2 linked regions of the Struthio camelus genome follow. The protein of the gene in region 1 interacts with the protein of each later gene in a biochemical or structural test. Links are inferred from orthologs where the notes say so. Each region holds a gene or a part of one and is shown in the gene's direction. Other genes may lie near its edges. The genes, in order: MCM5 and MCMBP.

Region 1 (11,745 bases):
CGCATGAATGCCCTTGAGATGGATCTTGCCACTAAGAAAAGAGTCTTGGAGGAAGCCAAGAAAGCATTCCTGCTTAATATACAAGTGAGTAACTACTGGCTAGCCCTGTCTGCCCACACCCTCTCTCAAACAAGATAACAGCTACTGGGGAAAGGCAAAGCTGGTATTTCTGCTATGGAGCTCAAAGCAAGCTATGGGTTAGGGCAAGCTAGTCAGAGTTAGAAATCTCCACGTGTCTTACCTGGGAGCCTAATGAACAATCAGTCTCTGAAAGATCCTTCTCCCTCCCCTAGGGTTTGAATTCAGGCTCTTTCTTGTGCTATTGTTCAGATATAAACAAGGCTTTATGCTGGGAGTAGGGATCACTGTCTACCTGCCCCACCTCCCAATAAAGCTCTACAGCTCCTCTGTGAATGCTGACTAGATACACACATACCTTGCTTTCCTTCCTATCAGAAGATGGGCCTTCTCTTGAGCTGGAAGCCTCAGACAGAACCTGCAAAGTGAACAAGGAGTTTGAAAGATACTCTCTTGACCCCTCAGGCAGATTATGTTCTGTGCAGAACAGGCAGCAGTACCAGGAGGGGCACAACTGGACTGAAGATTTGTGGCTTCCTCTAGTTCTGAAGTGCCTAGCGCAAAGGGGTCCAGCGAAAGAAGAAGTCCACGTAATGAGACAGTGTGCATTCTTTTCAGGTGTTTGAGGCACTGCAGGAGCTGGTGTCTAAGGGCCAGGAGAACGGTCATCCTGTGCAGCTGAAGGCAGAGCTTCGCGCAAGGAACGCTAACAAATCACATGAACATGGTAAGAGATTTCTAAAAGCAGTTGTTTAAAGTTGCCCCATGTGCTTTTCTTTTCCCCCCTTCCTGTGTTCTTGCTTGTACAAGCCACTGAGACATGAGCATGAGGTACTTGCCTCATCTCTTCACCGGCAGTCAGTATATAGTGCAAGAAGGGGCCCTGGTGTGTGTGAAGCTGCTTCCAGACATGGCAAAGCAGGGATGAGACATTTGGGCTCTCCATGAATAGTGTCCCTGAGAAAGTTTTACAGGAAGAGACTACCCTCTCTCTCTCAAGTTTTAACAAGTGTAAGGTTCGTTAGCCACATAAGTTTCAATCAAAGGGGAACCTGGCCTTGAGTTCACAAAGGAAAAGCTGCAGTTCCTGGCCTAGCACATTAGCTGTGACACTGTGATGCTGGTAGAAGGTTCTTGGAGACATGCAACCTTATCCAAGAGCCTGTCCTTTTGGACTAAATCTTCCTGCGGTCGTTTTCATGCCTTCCAGAAGTATTTACTGAAAATAGTTCCTGGAAGCAATGAAAATGTGCTATGTTTAAAATCAGCATGAAATGCGAATGTGTGGTGAAATGTACAGCTCAGAAGTGGAGCTGTACAGGCTCCAGTTCAACTCTGCAGAACTGAAAAGGCTCCATCTACTGGCAAAAGGGAAGATCCTGTGCAAGGGCCCTTTCTGCAAAGCCAATCCAGCTGCTGCTGGCAAAGCGATCTCTTTTTATGAAGTCAGACTTGTGACTGAGTTTGGATAGGGCTCAGATGGCTACGGAGGAAAGTGGCTTCCCTGATAAGAGCTTTCTTATTCAAATCACATCTTATGAGCCACACGTTCTGAAACTAAAAGGGAGATTGTTCACTGCATACTGAGCTGAACCAGTTTCCCAAGGCAAAGAATGCAAATTCTCCTTGTTTTGTGCACCTCTAGAGAGTGAAGCTTAGAGCAACTTCTTCAGGCAGAGTAGCAGAACTTCTCTGCAAATGTTTGCTGCTCTTTTCTCAATAAACCCATACAGGTAGGATTTTCTAAAAAGCTCAGTGTTGGGTGAGAAGTCCCATTCTAAAATTGCTCTAAGACAATTATTTGTCTGCAGTGTTAAGGACTACCCGTTAAAGTCGTAAAATGTCTAACTGATTAAATCATGGGGAGTTAGGGGACAAAATGCCTTTAAAATTCTGGTTTAACCATTTAACTGTCTTCTGGACACATCAGAGGTTTGAAGGAGTCTCTTCAGGATCTGGGCAGGGTATTTATAGGCCAGTAAGGAGACAAGGGAAGATGCCAGTATTCAAGTACAAGCAGAGGTGTTGTGAGCCCTTGGGATTCCCAGGTCAAGTCTGCTGCTTCCCTTCTTCGCCTGCTCTGACAGAGCAGAATCTGCTGTCGCTCTTTCCCCAGCCTCACTGGGCTCTGGGATCTCTCCTTTTCCCCGTAACAACTGCGCCAGGGTCAGCTCCATCACTGTGGAGGGCTAGCATGGCATACTGGCAGCCTCTTGCCTCATCCTGATCTCACCCACTTTTTTTCTATTTAATCTAGGTCCAGGGCCTGGGAAAGAAAGAGAGAAGACAAATATGAGACACACAGAAATGCTACCCACCACTCCCCTTGTGCGGTGGATCCTTGCACTCAGCTTCCTAGCCACAACAGTCGCCGTGGGCTTATTTGCCATGTGAACAAATAGAACCGTCACCTTCTCTTCATGCCTTCCCTCACCCTGAACTAATCCATCTTCCCCAGGCCTTCTGAGAGAAATTCTCCTTGGCTGGGTGCTGTGATCTTGGCTCTGTCACTAACATTAGGAGGCTTCTCTCCCCAGAAAGCAAAGAGAGTGCTAAGGGGGTTCAGGCAAAGTCTCTCCTGTGCTTGGTGTGAGCTATGCCAGAGACTAAATTTATCACCAGAACATAAGGGCAGAAAAGGCCTAAAAGCAGTGGCCAGGAATTGTCATTGTTTTATAGAACTCCTGCAAAAATCCTACAAAATCAGAAACGCAGGTTTGACATCATGTTTTGCCTCAGAAAGAAAAAGCTCCCCGGAGCCCTGTTTGCTCAATATTTTATATGGCTAGCTGATACTGTGATCACTATTTCTGTGGAGCCACATGGTTCCTCTGGGTTATAGACTGTTTTATATGACACTAGTAGGTTAAATCTTTTTCCAATCACTTTTGGTTTTTAAAAAGCAGAACACAGTTGTTGAAGATACAGTGTTGATCTTTTGTCTTGTTATATAATTTATATATATATATAAAATAAACATTAACGTAAAATCTTCAGGCCTGGTGTTTCCTATTGTTAAAGCCATATCCAGGGAGAATGGAGGTGCCTTTCTGCCTCTCAATTTTATGTCTGTTGGAGCTGCTGCCTCCACAGATATGACAATAGACAAAAGTGGGAGTTACCAGAACCAGACTCTGTTCCCACTCTGTTCTAACAATAACTTGTTGTACAAGCTCAGTCAGGTTTCTTAAGCTTCATAATGGTCTCTATTTCCAGAAATTGAATGAAATTCTGTGACTGTACAAAGTATCTTTAAGAGGTAGAAGCTAGACCTAAGAGTTAGCTGCTATTCTATTAAAAGGAAAAAGGTGACTGGGCTCCTGGCTGGTCTAAACTAGGGCTGTTGCCCCTGCCCTGTAGCAGCTAAGGGCCAGGTGCTGTTAATCATAGTGCCTTTCTGAGAACATCACCATGAACCAGAAAAAGAAGTATGTTCTCACCCCTCACAAACAAAATACATACTAGCTTTTCATCCTACAAGACATCAAAACCAGAGACATCAAGCATGTAACTGCATGTCCTCAACTAGGTAACAATCAAACCAAGCCAGCTTACTGCCAGAATTTGGCATGTACAAGGAGTTCCTAAAGACAGTACAAATAAGTAGCAGTGCTGGAGCAGTCCATGTGTACAGCTTTCTGTTTTCCCCTTTTGCTCACTCAAAACTGGAGGTGCGGCCAGCTGCTGTTATGGCCATAGGCCTTATCTGCTTATGAAGGTCTTCTAATACAGAAGTTAACTGCAGGAGCGGCTGCATCTTGAGTGTAACAGAGCAGATACTGACAAGGCCATTACCTTTCAGCTCAGAGTCCCTTCCCCCCTTTCTACCTGAGGAGCCTCTGTGATCAACCTGTCTTCATGATGCTGCCTGTTCTGGCTGTAGCCTTAATCCCAAAGGCATTTATTGCTACTGATCTGTATTAATGATCAGCACTTAACCTACTCAAAGAGCAAGAATCAGAAGGCAGGTCCTACAGAGAATAAACAGTGAGAAAGAGAGACTGTCATTATCATCAGGCTCTTGTCTATCCTATTTTTCTTGTAAAATCTCTTTTAATGCTTCTCTATTTGGACCCATTCACCGATCCCCAGAAAAAGAGAAAACAAGTTAATTGTTAAAAAGAGAGTCAAATGTGTGAAAAGCAGGGATATTAGGCTTGACAGCTATTCAAATCCTATAACTCATTTCATTCGTTCAAATTTATTTTAAGTTCCACCTACTCAGTCTCTCTAAGCCACCCCAACTAAATCATTATGTTCATTCAACCATGCTGAATAAATAAACCTCCCAAACATGCAAACAAATGCCCAAGAGCTCAGAAAATGCACTCTAGCACAATCAGCCCCCCGCTCTGCTGCCCTCAGAGACCATAGCTGTGACCTCAAAGTTAAGAAACTTGGATTCAAACTGACACCATCCCCCTTCCTGTTCATAGCAGAAGAGTATCATGCTCTGAGTTATCTCACAGCCACTGCCGTACCACACACAGAAGGATGCCAGACTGAGCTAAAGCAAGTCTTCAGAGGTGAACGCTAAAACTTTGCTTTGTACTAATCTATAAGCTCTATGAAAATATCTGGCTTCCCTACAGCATAGCTACAGCTGACAAGATTTCCACCCGGTGCTGTTAAAATCTCCCTTGCAACACACTATGCTTCCCAGCTCTGGTTTTCATTTGATATGTGCAGTACCCCACTTTCTAGGAGCTATAATGGTTTCCCAATGACAAGTCAGCTTTCCCCAAAAATTCAGTAGTAGTTAGCAGAAAAACATCCCAGAGGAAACGTATCCTAAAAAAACAGTCTGTTTATATGCGTATTTGGCTTGCTGTGTAAGTACTGTCTTCCCTATGGGACTCTGGGCAGTCCAACCACCTGCCATTCCCTTTTCCAGTATGTCCCAAAGCAAGGATGACTCCTTGCCAAATGGAGTGACTTGGACATGACTCATGTCCAAAGCACATGACCCCTCCCTTCCCCTCCCCTCCCCTCTCTCCCTTTTATGGACCTGTCACCTGAACTAAGGACTAGCCCTCATCCCCCTGTCCCGATGTCAGAGCTCGAGGGCAGGTTGCATCCCAGAAGAGCTGCCCCAAAAGGCAGGAGCACAAAAACAAATCTGGCCCATACAATCTTTGCAGAAAGGGCTCTGAACGCGCTCGGAGGCACCTCTCGCGGCTCAGTAGAGTGCTCCTCATCTGGCCTATGGTACCTGTCACTTCAGAACTGCAAAACAGTTGGGGCTGGCAGGAACCGTCTGGTCCAGCCCCCTGCTGAAGCAGGGTCACCTACAGCAGGTTACCCAGGACCGTGTCCAGCTGGTTTTGAGTATCTCCAAGGACGGAGACTCCACAGCCTCTCTGGGCAAATTAGCATTGATTAAACATTGTATGAACGCTAACTAATCCCCACAGATCTCTGTTATCCCCACTCTGCGGGCGTCAGAGGTGACCCCAGCGCTGCCCAAGGACACTAAAGGCTGCCACTGACCCGATGGGCTTCAGAGGCAGCTGTAGCCCCATTAAACTGCACCCCCCTCCATGTTTGGGGGGGGGGGGTTGGCCCGGGGCCAACACCTGGAGCGCCAAGCAGGGTGAAGAGCTGCCAGGCCCTCAGCTGAACACCTCCTGCCAACGCCTGTCAGCAACGAGCATCTAGGCAGGCAGGAAGGCTAGACAACCCAAGGTTTTCCCTGCCTCCGCCTCCAGCCTTGCGATAATCGCCGCTTTATTTTATTCGTGTCCATTAACGTCGTCACTCGACTCACGGCACGCAGGGACCCGCCCCGCCAGCCTCGCCTCTAGGCGCTCTCTCCCCCCCTCCCCGGCAGCTATGGTTTCGCCCGCCTTCCCCCCCCCTTCCCCCGCGCCGCCTGCAATAGTCCCGCCCGATCCGCCATTTTCCTCCCCTTTTCCCCTCCCTTTCTCTCCCAGTTTTCGCGCCAAATGCGCCCGGCCGAAAGGGGGCGGAGCGCTCGGCTGCGGCGGCGGCCTGGGCCGAAGGGGGCGGGGCGGCGAGGGAAAGGACGGCCAGGGCCAATCCGGGGCGGCGCGCTGCGGGCGGGCCAATTAGGAGCGTGCAGCAGCGGCGCGCTTGGGAGGGGGCGTGTGTCCGGTTTGTTAGCGCCGCGCGCTGCTTTTGCCGCGAAAAGTGGCGGGCCGGTTCCCGGGGAGCGGCGAGGTGCGGAGCCGGGCGGCGGGGGGGGGGGACGGACGAGTTGCGGTTGTCCCAGCACCAGCCGCTCCGGGTCTGGGGTCCGTCCCGCGGGCGGGGGCGAGGGGGCAGTTTGGGGGGTTATTGGCGCAGTCGGTGGGGCAGGGAGAGCAGCGCGGGGTGGGGGTGGGGAGAGTTTTTTGGGGGGGGTGGGCAGGTTGGGAGGAGTAATGGAGTCATGGATGGGGCAGGGGCTGCGGGACCGCGGTGTAGCAGGGAAGGCACCGGAGGGTGGGGACCCCCTGAGACATTTGGGGGGAGGAAGAGGCGGGCAGGGGGCTGACCGTGTCTTCCCACCCCTTCAGTGAATCGTGGTTGCCATGTCCGGCTTCGACGACCCCGGTATTTACTACAGCGACAGTTTTGGGGGTGACGTGTCGGCCGATGAAGGGCAGATTCGGAAGTCCCAGCTGCAGAAACGGTTCAAGGAGTTTCTACGGCAGTACCGGGTGGGCACGGACCGGACAGGCTTCACCTTCAAATACAGGTGCTGCTGTGACTTGTAGCAACCGCTCTTCTCTCTCTGTAGCCTTACTCACTCACTCCTCCTTGCACGTCCAATCCGCTCTTAACCTGCCTTCTGCTATGTAAGTCAAAAGGATACAGTAGCGTATTTTAGCTTGTTTCCTTCCTGTAGACCCCGAAGAGCTCTTTGTTAAGATAAGAAATGACATTGTTCCCATTTGAGCTTATGGGAAAACTGAGGTTTGGCATTCTCCCAAATTCTTAGGCGGTAGTCTGGTCTACAGTGGCAGAGGTAGGAATAGCGGGATCTGCATCGTCGAACTTGCACTTAGATCAGAATTTCAAGGTCTGTTTTCAAGTTTTAGTGCTTCCTGGTCCAGAGTTTTGGTCTGATCGGGAGTATTAAAATTGGTAAAGCACTGTTCGCTTATGCCCTCTGAGGCTCTGAAGGTCCCTTGGCTATCATTTTGCCTATGCAACTTGGAGAGACTACGGAGAGAGAAGATGGAGACATATCATGCAAGGGTCAGGGAAATCTTTCACCTTTCATGTCTGAATTTCTTGCACCCTAGTTTTTATAAGGGGAATATTGCCTGCTATGCTATTACATCCTGTTTTTTAGAATCGCAGTTTAGGTACAATAGACATTCTGTATAGGAGTTCCTGAATTGCACATCTGATATTGTGATTCTAGAATTAAAGTATTAGCACTAAATTTACACTGTCACTGCAAGCACTAGTGTTCCTGGTCTTGTGTCACATTTCAGAGAGTATTTGGATGAAAGATTTGCCCAGGACCCCCTTGGCTTCTCTTAGAGCTCTCCCTATTTTCCCAATTTAAGGAAATTGGGAATTTCCCAATTTTCCAAACTAAGGACTCCATGCAGAACCTGCCTTCTCTTCTCCCTGTTTAGTGACAGGGTCATTGTGGAATGGTGGCTGGACACGTTTGTTAAGATTAGTGCTTTCTGCTCTGCAAGCATTTACTACCTACTGCCTTGCAGGGATGAGCTTAAACGGCACTATAACCTGGGTCAGTATTGGATTGAGGTGGAGATGGAAGACTTAGCCAGCTTTGATGAAGATCTTGCTGACTATCTGTACAAGCAACCAGCGGAGCACCTTCAGCTGGTAAGGATGGAGGGAATGGGAGATCTGGTGCGCTGACATTCAGTCATGTAACGAGAGCAGTCCTGATATTACACTGTAGTATGTCAGTAATAGCCTAGTTATTCCCTTTGTAGTTGGAAGAAGCAGCAAAAGAAGTTGCAGATGAGGTCACCCGTCCTCGTCCTTCAGGTGAAGAAACTCTGCAAGACATCCAGGTCATGCTGAGATCAGATGCCAATGCAGCCAACATCCGCAGTTTGAAGGTGAGGTGAATCTAGCTGCTCTGTGGAGAAACAGGTGGCAGGGCTTGCTCGTGAGAGGGAGGGATTGCTGAGGGAACTTTAAGTACTTGATTATTTACTTCAGGACACGAGTTGTTCACTAATTTACGCACAGGAATATAATGCGTCTTACATCTGACTGCACAGGGTTATTTTGATTGGTTCCTGCTTTGGGGACGTTACTGCTGTTAGGGGTGTTCTAGGTGTAGTGTTTTATCCTCTTACCTCTCTTGCTTTGAAGGCAGAGTAGTTAAAGCCATGCGACCTTCCCCTGCTACTATAGAGCAAGAGTATGGAGTTGTCAAGAAGTGTAAACTTCTTTTATTCTGGTACCCCCATGTTTCTTTAACATCTTGTATCATGGTTAAATTTCTTGTCAGTCTTCCAGCAATGTGCTTTCTCACCTTCCCTTCACCTTTTCCCTTTCAGTCTGACCAGATGTCCCACCTTGTGAAGATCCCTGGGATTATAATTGCAGCAACACCTGTGAGAGCCAAAGCCACCAAAATAGCTATCCAGTGCCGCAGCTGCCGTAACACCATCAGCAACATTGCTGTGCGCCCAGGCTTGGAAGGTTATGCCCTGCCCAGGAAATGCAACACGTAAGGACTGGAATGGAGATGAATCTGCCAGGGTAGTGGGACAAAAGACTCTGTCGTCTTCTTCCCCTTCATCCCATGCATGCTGCATGGAGTCAGCAACCTGTCCCACAAGGTGGAAGTGTCTGCACCGCTCTGAGCCTCTACCTTCCAGTTGCCCTAGTGCCTGCACCCATCCTTGGCCAGTAGCTTTTAGCTCTGTTCATCTAGGAGTAACCTTGATCATGGATGTTCTGTGACCACTGTTGCAAGCGGGGTTGAAAAAGCTGGTTGAAAAAGCTTCTTCCTCTAGACCTGCATTTCCATTGCTTTCAGCGTCTGCTCTTCCCTATTGCTGCAGACACAGAAGATTTTCTTCTTACCTCCTCAAACTCTCATCTGTCCCTCACTCTTTTCACTCTTGCATTTTGTCTTTTATTAATAAACAAAACAAAGTCAAACAAAAAATCCTCTTGCCTGTCAGACTTTTGCGCTGGCTTCTTACCATGGGCTCACTGAAGCACTTTCTATGGCTGTCTGGAGGTCCACCTTCTAGGTTTCTCTGTGCATTGGCTCTTGCCTTCTTTCTCCACTGAGTCTGTCTGTGTTAGAGTTTCTTGTTATGAGGATTGTTTGTCTTCACTTTCTAAGCTGGCTGCTGCCTTACCTTGCTTTCCCCTGTTGTCAGGTACCTAAAGGTTCACTCCTGCCTCCAGTTGTCCTGTAATACTGTTTTAAGTTGCTATCCTAACTTCCTATTAAGTTGTTATTTTTTTCAAGCAAACTTCTTGCCTCCCAGTTGCCTCTGCTCAGATTGCTTTTTTCATAAACTTCTGTAATAGCACTTTGCTACTAACTAATAGTACTTTGCAAACCCCTCTCTATAGCTCGTGATGCCTGTGTGAACCACGAGCATTAGGCTGCCATGGTGCTGCAGTGCTCTCGTGCTGGCTGATTCTGATGGATTGTGTGATCTCGTGTCTGCTAGTATTTTCCTGTGTCTCATCTTAAACACAGCTTGAGGGATCTTTGGGATGAGAATCATTCTTGTATTTAGTCTGTAGAGCACCTAGTTCCCGAAGCTTGACTGCAGAAGTGCGTCTGCGCATTTGTAGTGCAGCCGCCTCTCCTCCTATCTTGAATGGGGCTGACGTTCATGAGATTTTTCCTTGTCATATTATCCTCCCTGAAAGCCTATCGCTGCCTGCATGCGTTCAGGCACCAGTAATAATGTACTGAGAAGCCAGCAGGATGTGGAGGTGCTTCTTGTCTCAAAGAGCTTGTAGTATAGCAAGGCAGATATGTAGAGCCAGTGTCTCGAGAGACTAAGAGGTTGATGACAGTCTTGTCACATTGCTAATTGCTTTCTCAACAGAAACCACTTAACATTTGCTTCGTGCACCAAGTTATAAAGAAAAATGCTCTGTCAGGTCATTGAGTCTATACTGTTACCTTCTGTGCAATTACTGAATTACCTTCCTCTTTGGTTTTATCTAGCAGGGAAGAGGGAGGAGGCTGAAAGGGTATTCAGGGGAAATATCACTGTGTTTGGCTTGTTCTAATAGCTTGACCTTAACACCTGCCTTTGGCAACTGTTGAATACAAGATACAGGGTCAGGTGAACCTTTCGTCTGGCCTGTATGACTGCTCTTCTGGCTTGCTTGGTACTATTGGGGAGGGTGGGCTGTTCTGGGGTGTGAGACCACTCCTGCCTATGCAAAAGGGGCTTTGAGGTGGTGTCTTCTGAGTCCTGGCATTCAGCTAATTTCCCTGATTGATCTCTGTACAGAGAACAGGCTGGCCGCCCCAAGTGCCCGCTGGACCCGTATTTCATTATGCCAGATAAATGCAAGTGTGTGGACTTCCAGGTCCTGAAGCTCCAAGAGTCTCCAGACGCTGTGCCTCATGGGGAGATGCCCCGGCACATGCAGCTGTACTGTGACAGGTAACAGCAAGTCCCCTGTCCCACCACCCCACAGGGCATTTCAGACAGCTGGTACTGGATTCAACTCTTCCCTGGCAAGAAGTTATCTGAGTTGAAATGGATATTGTGGCCTTTTCTGCATCAATCCTTAGGAGCATTGCACAAGACTGCTCAAAAACAGATTTGTACACACCTCTGTACCTGTGAGGTTACCTCACAGCAGCGCCGCAATGTTTTAATAGCTGCCACGTCCTGGGGATGGCTGGCCAGCCTCTTCCTCCTATGATTTTCAGAGCCAAATTTTTTGTGGCCATGAGCCATGCCACATACCTTGGGAACCAAGCAGTTTAGGAAGCAGCTCTCAGACATGAGGGGTGACAGTGACTCCCTGGAATGCTGCTCCTCTGTTTTGGGAAAGACATGGGCCGGTCTATAGATAAGTTGCTCCATCTCAGAGTGATGTTGCATTGTTGCTCCTGGCAGCCTCTGCTTACATCCTCATGCAGCTGGTGGCTGAGATTGCTCAGCAGGCCTGGACAATATGGCTTCCTGCTGGTGAAGTTACTTTGGTCTCATATGGGAGCCTCAGTGAGCAAGTTCAACAGCCATAAATTGGCTCCCTTGATATTTCTTGAGTTAGTCCCGGCCAGGTCTCCCCTTTTGACAGCCCCTACTGCTGAGTGTTGGGCCTTGAAACTTTTCGGGGGTTGGCAAGAGAGGGGATAAAAGGTGTTGCTGGTGCTGTCCTTTTCCTCCCTGTCATCCTTTGCTTTCTCCTTCCTCTTCTTAGGTACCTGTGCGACAAAGTTGTCCCAGGGAACAGAGTTACTATTATGGGCATCTATTCCATCAAGAAGTCTGCCCAGAGCAAGAACAAAAGCCGTGACAACGTGGGTGTGGGCATCCGAAGCGCTTACATCCGTGTCGTAGGCATCCAGGTGGATGTGGAAGGCTCAGGTGAGGGCTGGTTTTGGTTCCTGCCTGGCTTGTGTTGGTAGCGTGGTGTTAGGAAAGCCCTGTTTCTGAACAAGGAAGTCCTTCAACGAGGACTACAAAATCACAACCTGAGTCCTTCTCTATCGCACATATAGCAAAA
Region 2 (11,251 bases), on another chromosome or scaffold:
GTACACACAGTCAAAGATGTTCTGTAACATTATGAACTATTTCCGAAACTATTAGTCCTGATAAAGCCAAAAGTATTAAAGCTTACAAATCACATCCTTAAAAATTGAATGTGCCATAAAGTGCAACAAAAGATACCAAGTCTTCAGGAACATTTAAAACGGAGCATAAAACTCAGCGTACATGGACAACGCAACAAAAGTTAAGAACTGGAAATAAGAAGCATTCCACTGCAAGGCAAAAAATATAATGAGCTTCTTACACCACCCACTGTGTACATTTGAACTCCCTTTCCACCTATTTGCTCTCTTATGAAACTGTGAGAGCTAACAATTACTTTTTTCTGAAGAGATGCTAAGTTGTATACCATGAGGAGAAGACCATCTTGTGGAGCGAGGCTCTGCAAATTGGCACAGCCAAATCAACAGTATTTCTGTCCTAAAAATAGGATTTTGCCCTTCCCTTCCTCCTTGCGCTTAGCCAGGGTCCCATTCCTTTCCTTGAGTCAGCTCCAATGCTTGTCTCTAGTGCTCAGTCCTGCTCAGCTCTGCAACACCGCAATTTACAGTATACGTTTGGTAAACTGAAATTGGTTGCAGTTTGCCTTAAAATGCTGAAATCAAGTGCTTACTTGTGCAGCAAAAGTAAAACAGACAGCTCTAGGTGGTAACATCCTCAGCAACCACAGCTCTTATGTTTCTTTTGGAGGGAAAAAGGTTCCCACTTACAAGGCATGGGTTCACTCTCCTGAAAGATATGCTTCTAGAACTATTTATGGGAGCACAACACAGAGGAGATCACTGAAAAGACTGTTGTTAAGAGATAAGCCTCAAAACAAACAGCATTTTAACTCATTGACCTCATTTCACAGTGCAGTGTCATAAACTGCTGCCTCAGCACAACTGAAGGCTCAGCAGTACACAGCTGAAGTTAGGACCTTCCCAAGCCAACGTAGCAAAGAACCCTGCTTCCAGGACACTGGAATCCCTTTCAATTCCCCCTTATGCCTACCAGGTGCAAAAAGATCCTTAGTCGACTTCCTTTCACCATGAAAACAGCCTCTAAGCACTTCACCTTCCAATTTTTTAAGCTTCCAAGATCAAATTCAGAGGAGCTTAAGAAGATTCCCCAATAGGCCACATCTACTGGTTAAGCAGTGCGTTCTCATCTCCCCCTTCAGAAGGGCCCTCTCAAGATTCCCCATTTGACTTGCAAGGTGGCAAAAACACAACAACCCATGTCATTAGAAAAGCACAGTTTATTTCAGTTCTGTCTATATATCTTATTCTAGAGTGGCACAAGAGCTACATTTCTGGTCCAGAGGAAAACAAGTAACTGCAATAATTCCAGGAGAGGGCCTAAAAGGTGCAATGCCATATGCCTGCCCTTTTGCATCAAAAGGGGAAGTATATAAAACCAGGTCCCGGTCAAGTAGAGTTTTCTGCTTTGCAATGATCCAGTAACAAGCGACAACCAAGCGGTTTGACATTATTATAGGTCTCACAGTAAGCTCAATTGAACCTGGGACGATCTGAGCATCGCCACCCACCTGCTGAGGGAACAGCCTCTTCTGAGCAGCCAACACAATTTACAGAAGTCATAAAAGTGCTCTCATCTACTCTAGCAGTTAAATAATCCCCAGACTGTGGGGAAGAAATTGCTTCGAAGAACGATCATTGCTTCTCTGCTACTCAGTCATTAGCCAAAGAAACAAACTAAACATCCCTGCAGCCACAAGCAGTCAATAACAAATGTCTTTATCTGCAGCCGAAACAGCTAGAGTATCAAGGGAGAATAGGGGAATGCACAGAGAACTCAAACTAGGAAGCTGCTGTTCTAGTTCATTAAATGGAAAACAAATAGCTGCCATCACTAAGACCATTTTAACCATCTGCTTTTATTCAGTTGCCCTTTCAGATGGTGTCAACTGGCCAATGCAGATGATGCTTGGTGTGTTATATTCTATTTTGAGGAACAAAACATCAAACCTATGCATGCAAACGATCTTGTGGAGAACACTAAATTTCATTTATAAGTAATGACCATTATAAACTCAGGCATGTGAATTACCTTCCAAACAGAAGAATAGCCACTTATACTATGGTCTTTGTTTCTAAATATTCTCCTTTCATATTTGATAGACATCATGGAATAAAGAGCAGCGTATCGCATACCACACAGTCAGGTCTCCACTTTCCAGAATGCCCAGGAGTAGAAGAGGTAATACATCTCATGGCAATTTCAGTGCACTGCTACGTGTTAATCATAATCTAAAAAAACGAGTCAAGGCCTTTACCAAATGCCTGTGCACAAAACACCTACTATTCTTCAGTTTCGACTAGTTCGGGGAGATTAAGTGTAACAGCATGTTCCCCTGAAAAACAGGGAGTTGACTAAAGTTCTCCCAAAACAAATGTATGACAACCTTCTGTATCCCTCACAGACATCACCTTCTCATTCACAGATCATCCTCTGACAATCACAAGTGACAGATTTCCACCTTCTCATCAGGAGTACTCTTCTCTATTTAAAGTATATTGGTTACTTCATTTGCATTAGAGCCTGAGAATACCTCTTTTCTCATCAAACTGCAAAGCACAAAACACTCCTTACTCACTTTTAGAGATATAACAGATTTATCAGTGCACAAATCTTCCAGACGTGGATGTCAGAAGCAATTCCCGAGACCAGTTTCCATTACATTTTACACCATTTAGGATTCAAGCTCAATGGCTTGCTTTTCCTTGGTTCAAATTAGGGTTCAAGGAGCAAACTACTCTCTACAGGTAAATCCCTATTCCCATTAGGGAATTAGGGAAGGCAAGGGACCACAAAAGCAGAACACTTAACAGGATTGAGGCCCTACTTGGATAGATACAATGTGTGGCACATCCTCAGCAGGAGACCTTTGGCATTGAAATTGGTTCCAGTTGATTCTCAGCCCTGGTGAGGCCACATCTGGAGCACTCTGTCCAGATCTGGGCTCCCCAACACAAGAGAGACATGGAACTACTGCAGCGAGTCCAGCAGAGGGCTACTAAGACGTTTAAGGGACTGGAGCATCTCTCTGCAATGTGCCTTCTAGACATTCTGTTCTCCTTTCGCTCTACTGTTACCCAGTCAACATACTCCATCCTCTTTCTCATTGCCCAGTCTCAGTTCCCCTCCTTAATCATGCTTCTTCATTTCCTCTACCTGCCCTCAGCTTTCCTCCCCTTCTTCTTCTAGTATCTCCCTGCCCCTTTCTTTTTGGCGTTACCAGCTATGAGAAACAACACATTCCGGTCTAAGTCTACCCAGCCACAGTGAGGCTGCATCTGGAGCACTCTGTCCAGTTCTGGGCTCCCCAACACAAGAGAGACACGGAGCTACTGCAGTCAGACCAGGAGACACATTATTAAGGGACTGGAGCATCTCTCCTGCGAGGAAAGGCTGAGAGAGCCGGGCCCGTTCAGCCTGCAGAAGAGAAGACTCAGGGGGGAATCTGATCAACGCGTACAAGTATCTGAAGGGAGGGTGCCAGGAGGATGGGGCCAGCCTCTTCTCCGCGGTGCCCAGCGACAGGACGAGAGGCAACGGGCACACACTGAAACCCTTCGTCTGAACACGAAGGAAAAACTCCTTTGCTGTGAGGCTGACAGAGCACTGGAGCAGGTTGCCCATGGAGGTGGTGGAGTCTCCTTCCCTGGAGATACTCAAAAGCCGTCTGGACACAACCCTGTGCAATATGTTCTAGGTGACCCTGCCTGAGGTCCCTTCCAACCTCATCCATTCTGTGAAAAACTACGAATCTTCATCTGACCAGCTTAAGTGAGATAGAGACTACATGTTCGATCATAAATTTTGTTATTGAAATCTCATCCTCAGGTCTTCTCCATAGCTAGCTTCAAAGTCATAGAGGAAGCTGACACAGGAAAGCCATCTCTGCAAAGCTACTTAATAACTATTTTTTAAATGAAAAACATTGTATAGCGGCAACAAGAACTATAAGGATTGCACAAGTGGAAGTGGTGCATGTATCAGCTGCCTAGATACCTCACACAGGTAGGAGCGATATTCTAGTACTTTACACTACTCAAAAAGGCAGTTCAGTAGATATTTAAAGAATAAAAATGAAAAAGTGTTTCTAAGCCATACTTAACAAACATGTTTTTAAAATTACAAGGATTTACTTCATTTGTTTCCAGGCATATTAACACTTATCCTAAGTAAAATACAGCACTGTTGAAATCAGCTCTTGAATTCTGGACTCAATATGTGCCAGTCCTGTGAAGCTTAAAAATACTTGATTTCTAGATGCATTTTTACTGTTTAGGGCTTTTAATCTTAGACAGAACACACTTCCAAAAAATCTGTTCCTGTATCTGAAGTCATCTGAGCTTCAGTTTTAAGTTGTACGTACATAGGTTTGACGTACCATCCAGGCTTTGCAAGGAAGTGATATTAATCACCTAGCCTAAGCAAACAAGGAAATTTGAGGTACCTGCTTAGCATACTATTTTCAGGCAGGGAAAAAAAAGACAACGTCAGAGAGTCCTCTGAAGACTATTTATCCTACAAAACTGAAGTAAATGCCACTTTAAAAAAAATGCAATGCAGGAAGCACTGTCTGAACACGAAGGACAAACTTCTTTACCGTGAGGCTATATTAAATAGTCCTCTGCACAGAAGCATCAAAACAAAATTAATTGCTCAAACAAGAATGCTAACCTGTTAACTGGACACACGATAAAGCCTCTCCCCCTCTCTTCAGACACAGCACTAAAACCGAACACTTCAGTATCAAGCCCATGCATGAAAACAGCATACCTGAAGGAGCCTGTCTTCCCTAAAGCACCAACTCCAACAGCTGCCAGTGAAAACCAGCTCAGAAAACCTCACAGCAAAGCGACTACAGCCAAACAAAAAACTCGGCCCTCGCTAGGGAAGGGTCGAGCCAGCGTGAGGAAGGAAGCCCACCTTCCTGTTTGTTGCTCGGCGGACAGCAGGACCGGCGGATCCAAACACAGTTGCGCAACACAAGCAAAGAACAAAAAAAAAGAAAAAGAAAGAAAAAAGAGGAATCGCCTCTCTGTCCCCTCCCCCGCCCCGAGCCCGGCCACGGAGCGCAGCGGCCGCCCCGCACCTCGGGGCCTCCGGAAGGCTCCCCCCGCCCGGCCCCCGGCCCCCGCCGGGCCCACAGCCCGCTCCCCCGCGCCGGCGGCCGCCCCGCCACCCCTCGGCCCCCAGCGCCCCCGTACCCGCCGAGAGGACAGCGGAGTCCGGCGGCCCGGCTGGGGCCTGGCTGACCGGGATGAAGGGCACCGTGAAGTTGAACTCGGTGGCGGAGGAGGAGAAGAGCAGGTTGGTGCCGCCACCACCGGCCCCGGGCTTGGCCGCCGCCATGGCTGCGCTGCTTCCACGTCTCTTCCCTCGCGGCGGCCCGGCCCCTTCCGCCCTCACCGCTGCCCGCTTCCAACATGGCGGTAGCGGCGACGCGCTCCCCCCCCCCCCGCCCCGTTCCGCGCACGGGCGCGGAGAGGAGGAGGAGGAGGAGAAAGCGGGCGGGGCGGGCCTGGCCCAGCCCTGCTCTTCCCTGCCCTGGTGCCGCCGCCATTGCCGCGGCCGCCGTCAGAGGAAGAGGAGGAGGAGGAAGGCGGAAGCCGGGCGCCCCTGTGCAAGGCTTGCGGGCGGGAGAGTGTCGGCGGCAGCAGCAGCAGCGGCAGCAGGGTGCGAGGCCCCGTCACTGACGCGGGGGAGTTGGCAGCGGCCCCCCCCCGCCCCGTCCCTGGGCGAGGCTCGCCCCGCCATGCCGTGTGTAGCCGACTGGCTCAACAACCCCTTCAGCATCGTGCAGGGCATCTTCGGTGAGCGGCGGCGGGCCGGGGGCCGGCTCCCTCTCAGGAGGCGCCCGTGAGAGGCCGGGCGGGCCGGCCTGGGCGGCGGCGGGGGAGGGCCGGGGCCGGTTCCCTCTCAGGAGGCGCCCGTGAGAGGCCGGGCGGGCCGGCCTGGGGCGGCGGCAGGGGAGGGCCGGGGCCGGTTCCCTCTCAGGAGGCGCCCGTGAGAGGCCGGGCGGGCCGGCCTGGGCGGCGGCGGGGGAGGGCCGGGGCCGGTTCCCTCTCAGGAGGCGCCCGTGAGAGGCCGGGCGGGCCGGCCTGGGGCGGCGGCAGGGGAGGGCCGGGGCCGGTTCCCTCTCAGGAGGCGCCCGTGAGAGGCCGGGCGGGCCGGCCTGGGGCGGCGGCAGGGGAGGGCCGGGGCCGGTTCCCTCTCAGGAGGCGCCCGCGAGAGGCCGGGCGGGCCGGCCTGGGGCGGCGGCGGGGGAGGGCCGGGGCCGGTTCCCTCTCAGGAGGCGCCCGCGAGAGGCCGGGCGGGCCGGCCTGGGCGGCGGCGGGGGAGGGCCGGGGCCGGTTCCCTCTCAGGAGGCGCCCGTGAGAGGCCGGGCGGGCCGGCCTGGGGCGGCGGCGGGGGAGGGCCGGGGCCGGTTCCCTCTCAGGAGGCGCCCGTGAGAGGCCGGGCGGGCCGGCCTGGGGCGGCGGCGGGGGAGGGCCGGGGCCGGTTCCCTCTCAGGAGGCGCCCGCGAGAGGCCGGGCGGGCCGGCCTGGGCGGCGGCGGGGGAGGGCCGGGGCCGGTTCCCTCTCAGGAGGCGCCCGTGAGAGGCCGGGCGGGCCGGCCTGGGGCGGCGGCCAGCGGCAGCCGGCGGCTTCCCGCCTCGGGCGCCTGAGGCGCGAGGGGGCGGTGTGGGGGCGGCTCGGGGCCCGGCCCCGCCGCGGCTGCAGGGTTAGGCAGGGAAAGGCGTTCCTGCGGGAAGGGAAGGGGTGAGTTTGAAACGGCTTGCGGCGTGAGGGGAACGCCGGGTAGATGCTGATGCCGCTGTCAACGTGCGTTGTGTCGTAGCGCAAAATGATCCGAGCTCCGACTGGGAGAGGAAGGTGACCGAATATTTCAGAGAGAAGCTGAAAGAAAACAACGCTACTCACTGGGTAAGGTGGTTTTTATTCTGGGAGCGTTGCGCCGGTGCTAAGTTTCGCCCTTCTTGCCTCCTGGTGGCCGTGGCGCCCGGCTTCGGAGCAGCCCTTCGTCGGGAAAGGGGCGCTCGGCCCCGGGTTCCTCGGAAGCGCGCTTCTGAATGTTAGGCCTAGCCTTTGTAACGCGCTGTTTACGTCTCCGTTGGTAGGTAGGTAGGTAGGTAAAAACGAAGATGTAAAATCCTGCCTCAAGCCACTCCCCGTGACTTTCGGGTGGTGTGTGGGTTTTTTTTTTTTTTTTTTTTTTTTTTGGCCTCGGCCGTCGCCGCCGAGCGCCGCCTGTTTGTGGCGCCGCCCAGCAGATGGCGGGAGCTGACTAATGAGTGCTGGTGTTTCCTCAAAGCGTGATAACTAACGGGGGTTTGTGGCCGCCGTGCTGCGGCGGAGGTTTGTACGGCGCCGGGGTCCCGACTGCTGGGCAGACACCCCTCCGCTCAGCGGCTGCCCGTGCAGCGCCGTGACCTCCCTGGGGGCTGATGAAACAGCTGCTTGGTTTTTCGTCTTTGAGGCAGAGCGGGGGCGGGGGGGAAATACCATCTGCCTAAAAACTGTTCTGGATCAGGCCAGGTTTTGAAAGTGCAGGAAGGAAGCTCTCCTTTATTTTTAAAGCTAAGCAGGCACGCTTGAGCTCAAAAGGTGATGCTGTTCTGAAGGGCTGTGGGGAAACGGTGTCGTGGAGCTCTGTCCTAGTTGGACTAGGAGCTCTCAGTGTCGAATCTGTTCTATTTATGATTTAAAAAAACAAATACAAATAAAATTGTTTTTTTTTTTTGTTTTAATTTTTCTGCCAGTGAGAGAGGAATTCTGTGTTTGAGTGTCAAGGACAGTTTAAATCATAGTGTAGAGGAATAATTCTGTTCCTCCAGCAGAACTGTGTTAAATTTGCAGCAGTAGAAGGAATTAAAATAAAAACATATTTTCTTACTCAAGATGAACACGAGGGAGTATGTGAGTTGTTGTTGGTTTAGTTTTTTTGTTTGTTTAAGTCATTTTTACAGGGCCACTTTTGGTTTCATGTCATTTTAACGTTGAGTGTGATATCTTAACCAAGAGTTTATTTTAAAAACCAAAAAAAAAAACAACCTTATAGCAGGTCTCATTATTTTGATTTGTACTATATACCTGGACACCCGTTTTCCTTCTGCTTTTCTATTATCATATAAATATATGCAAAACAAACTCCCCCAGTGTGAAGGACTTTCAGATTAAGATACAATTTTTCTTCCTGTCCTTTTGGAAATACAAATATTTTGTTATAAGAAATTGTGCATGCAATTGCTGCAGTATCACTGATGCATGATGCATGGTCAAAGTGTTGTTAAATGGGAATAAAATAAGTAATAAATTTTATCTTAATATTCAGTTGAAATAATCCCCAAACTAACATTACAATCTCATATGTTGTTAAAGAGTTTACATACAGTTTCAATGAACTGAAACCCGTTTGTTTAGTCTGATATTGGAACTGAGAAATGAATGAGACTAATGGCTTTGCAACTGGAAAAATTTGGGAACTGTCAGTGTATGATAATCGTAACTATTGCCTCTAACAGCTACTGCAGAAACTTCCAGTGGTGTCAGGTATATTGTTACCTCTTGGACTGGGGCAGTAGATTTGGGGGCTAGGTGTGGGGAGAAAAGTACCCAGAAAATACTGAATCTGTTATGTGATGAGATGCTGAATTGTCAAAGGCAATTAATCTTATTGTCAATAAAATAGGCTTTGAGGCAAATAAAGTCAACAGCAGGAAACACTGAATGACCAGAGAATAAATTGGTGACAGCTTATGTGCAGTTTCTGGCTTACTTCAGGGCATTTCTCAATATTTATATAGCAGTTGTTTAGAATAAGCTCTCTTTTTCAGGTTCCGTCACTAAATGATGTTCCCCTACATTACCTAAAGCCCAACAGCTTAGTGAAATTTCGCTGCATGGTTCAAGATATGTTTGATCCTGAGTTTTACATGGGAGTCTATGAAACAGTTGATCCAAACACAAACATGCGTGTAAGTGAAATACTGTTTTGGTAAATGTTTAGCATTTTCTTCATTCCGTTCTTCATGCTTCTCTAGTTTTCTGAGTTAAACCTGTGGAGTCCAGGCACTGTCTAGTATTAACTCTATTTAAATAACTCAAATGGCATCAGTAACGTATTGCTTCGTATATTTCTGTTTATGAAGTATTGAAAACAAAATTCGGAAGGTTATTATTGCAAATGTAATTTGAGGGAATCAAAATTACTAAGGTAATGAAAGTTTGAGCAGTATGTCTTTGAAGGTTTTTAGACTGCAATAAATTTGGTGCAAGTAGTCCATATTCAGGATGTACTGGAAACGGAATAATTGCGTTGCTTTTGTCTTCTTGACAGGTTTTGCATTTTGGTAAATACAGAGACGTGGCAGAATGTGGGGTAAGTTATATGTTTTCTATATCAGATTTCGAGATGAAATATTATTCAGACAGAAAGATGCATTTTTATAAGTGCAGTATAATTTATTTGGCACTCATCAGTGAATCTCTGGAGATGCCGTTCTTAAAATTCCAAATTAAGCCCAGGTTTGGAAAGCAGAGAACTCTTAATTGCTCCTGTGCATGCTAAGTTCAGCAGTCTTCAAGCTACTTCCGTAGTATTTAAAGCTTGTTTTGCTTTTATATGCTGTTATCTGTGGTCGTTAGTTTTGGCCACTAATTCTTTGCCAAGAAGCAGGCTAGTGGAAGTGTTTTTTTGTTTGCTTGTTTTTTTAAGTCTCTTGAAACTTCCTGATATGGCAAACACTTTATTTTTGGTAGTGCAGTGCTATTAGTGTGAAAACATTATAGATTCAGACTCCTTGGAATCGTGCAAGATCGCATACTTGTGAGACGATGGCTGTTGTAACTTCTGGCTAGATACATGGTTCTATGGAATTAGCTAAAAAAAATCGATTGTTAACATCATTTATTTTTGGTATTCCAGCCTCAGCAGGAGATTGATTTGAACTCCTCACAAACAGTAACATGGGAGAGACAGACATTCTACTGCGTTCCAGTGCCTGGCGAATCAGCATGGGTGAAAGAAATATCTTTTGTCTGAGCCAATGCTCTGTTATACAAATAGTTATCACCACCAGCTAAGTCATTGGATTCTTAAATAGATAAGACTATTTAAAGTTTCTTAGATTCTGAGTAACTGGGGACGGATGAGGAGGAAATGTGGTAGATGCAGGAAAAATAGAAGGCAAAAAAATTAGTGGTATGCACAAACAGGATAAAAATAAATTTAGTGGAATTGATTATTGATTTGGTAGGGTTTCAAACTAGATTTTCATGTATGCTTGAGAGGGTTTTGGAAATCGCTGCTTATTTCTATTTGCAAATGTTTAGAAAATTTGAAACTTCTGTAGAGCCATGAATGTTTCATTGGCCTTTTCAGATTAAATTAGGACATTATTTAATGGCAGTCTAATGCAAGTACCTGTAAAAAGACCTGTAGCTGAGTGTGTTGAGTCATTCTTGAACGTTAAGTATTGTCTTTTTAATTGCTCAGATGCAGCCTGTCATTTTCTAAATGAGTTTGGAAAACATCTTGGGGAAAAACAAATCAGCTTTAGTTTCTCCTAATAAATGGAAGCTGAATTGTCTAAGTGGAATGGATATGGCATGCTTCTTCTAATGCCTTTTAGGAGTTAAATATTCTCCTCTTCTCTAAGGCCTCTAAGTGGAGGTCTAGAAAACTTAAGATACATTGCATTTTGTAAAAAGAAAGGAAATGCTGATAAATCCAGTGTGTTTAGATATTTCATATTTTGAGTTTAGAATTTAAGAAAACTCTACTGTTCATTGGCGGTTTTAAAATTAAGCTAATGCTATTTTTATAATAAAATGATTGGTGAGAGTCAGTCTTTAAGTGAGTAATGCTTACATCAATATACTGCAGCAGTGGGAATTTAATATAAGCCTGACTATTATAAAAATACTGAACATTATTTCAATAGTTACCTATCAAACTAAGAAAAACTAAATAGAGAAAGAAAAGTGTATTAGCTTTTCTAAATTCAGTTATTATATATGAAGTGCAGCATTGCTAGTATCTTGACAGTGCATGAACATTTTCTGTGTTGTATTAAAGTAATCATAATATTTAATTGAATCGGACAGCAATTCTTTAAATATTTTTTAAGTGTGTGCTCTTTAGAGGTGAGGTGTTTAAGAAGAGGAAAAAACCCTTGAGATATGGGAGTTGTTCCTAATCACGGACTTGTACTTTTGG

What was found.
Region 2: the proteins of MCM5 (region 1) and MCMBP form a complex in vitro, tested with the Homo sapiens proteins (2 studies listed by BioGRID). The link is inferred for Struthio camelus from reciprocal best matches to the Homo sapiens genes MCM5 and MCMBP.

The regions. Positions count from the first base shown.
Region 1 is NC_090942.1:59,820,884-59,832,628, reverse strand, and holds the start of MCM5 (DNA replication licensing factor MCM5), read left to right. Parts: upstream 1-6,076; 5' UTR 6,077-6,258; exon of another isoform or gene 6,259-6,332; intron 6,333-6,596; 5' UTR 6,597-6,611; coding exon 6,612-6,778; intron 6,779-7,760; coding exon 7,761-7,887; intron 7,888-8,000; coding exon 8,001-8,129; intron 8,130-8,576; coding exon 8,577-8,749; intron 8,750-10,514; coding exon 10,515-10,670; intron 10,671-11,439; coding exon 11,440-11,606; intron 11,607-11,745. Other genes in the region: HMOX1 (heme oxygenase 1), read left to right, coding at 1-84, 697-805, 2,336-2,472. UniProt on the Homo sapiens protein: Acts as a component of the MCM2-7 complex (MCM complex) which is the replicative helicase essential for 'once per cell cycle' DNA replication initiation and elongation in eukaryotic cells.
Region 2 is NC_090948.1:6,958,284-6,969,534, forward strand, and holds the start of MCMBP (mini-chromosome maintenance complex-binding protein), read left to right. Parts: upstream 1-5,786; coding exon 5,787-5,844; intron 5,845-6,871; coding exon 6,872-6,957; intron 6,958-8,867; coding exon 8,868-9,028; intron 9,029-9,370; coding exon 9,371-9,412; intron 9,413-11,251. Other genes in the region: SEC23IP (SEC23-interacting protein), read right to left, coding at 5,239-5,383. UniProt on the Homo sapiens protein: Associated component of the MCM complex that acts as a regulator of DNA replication.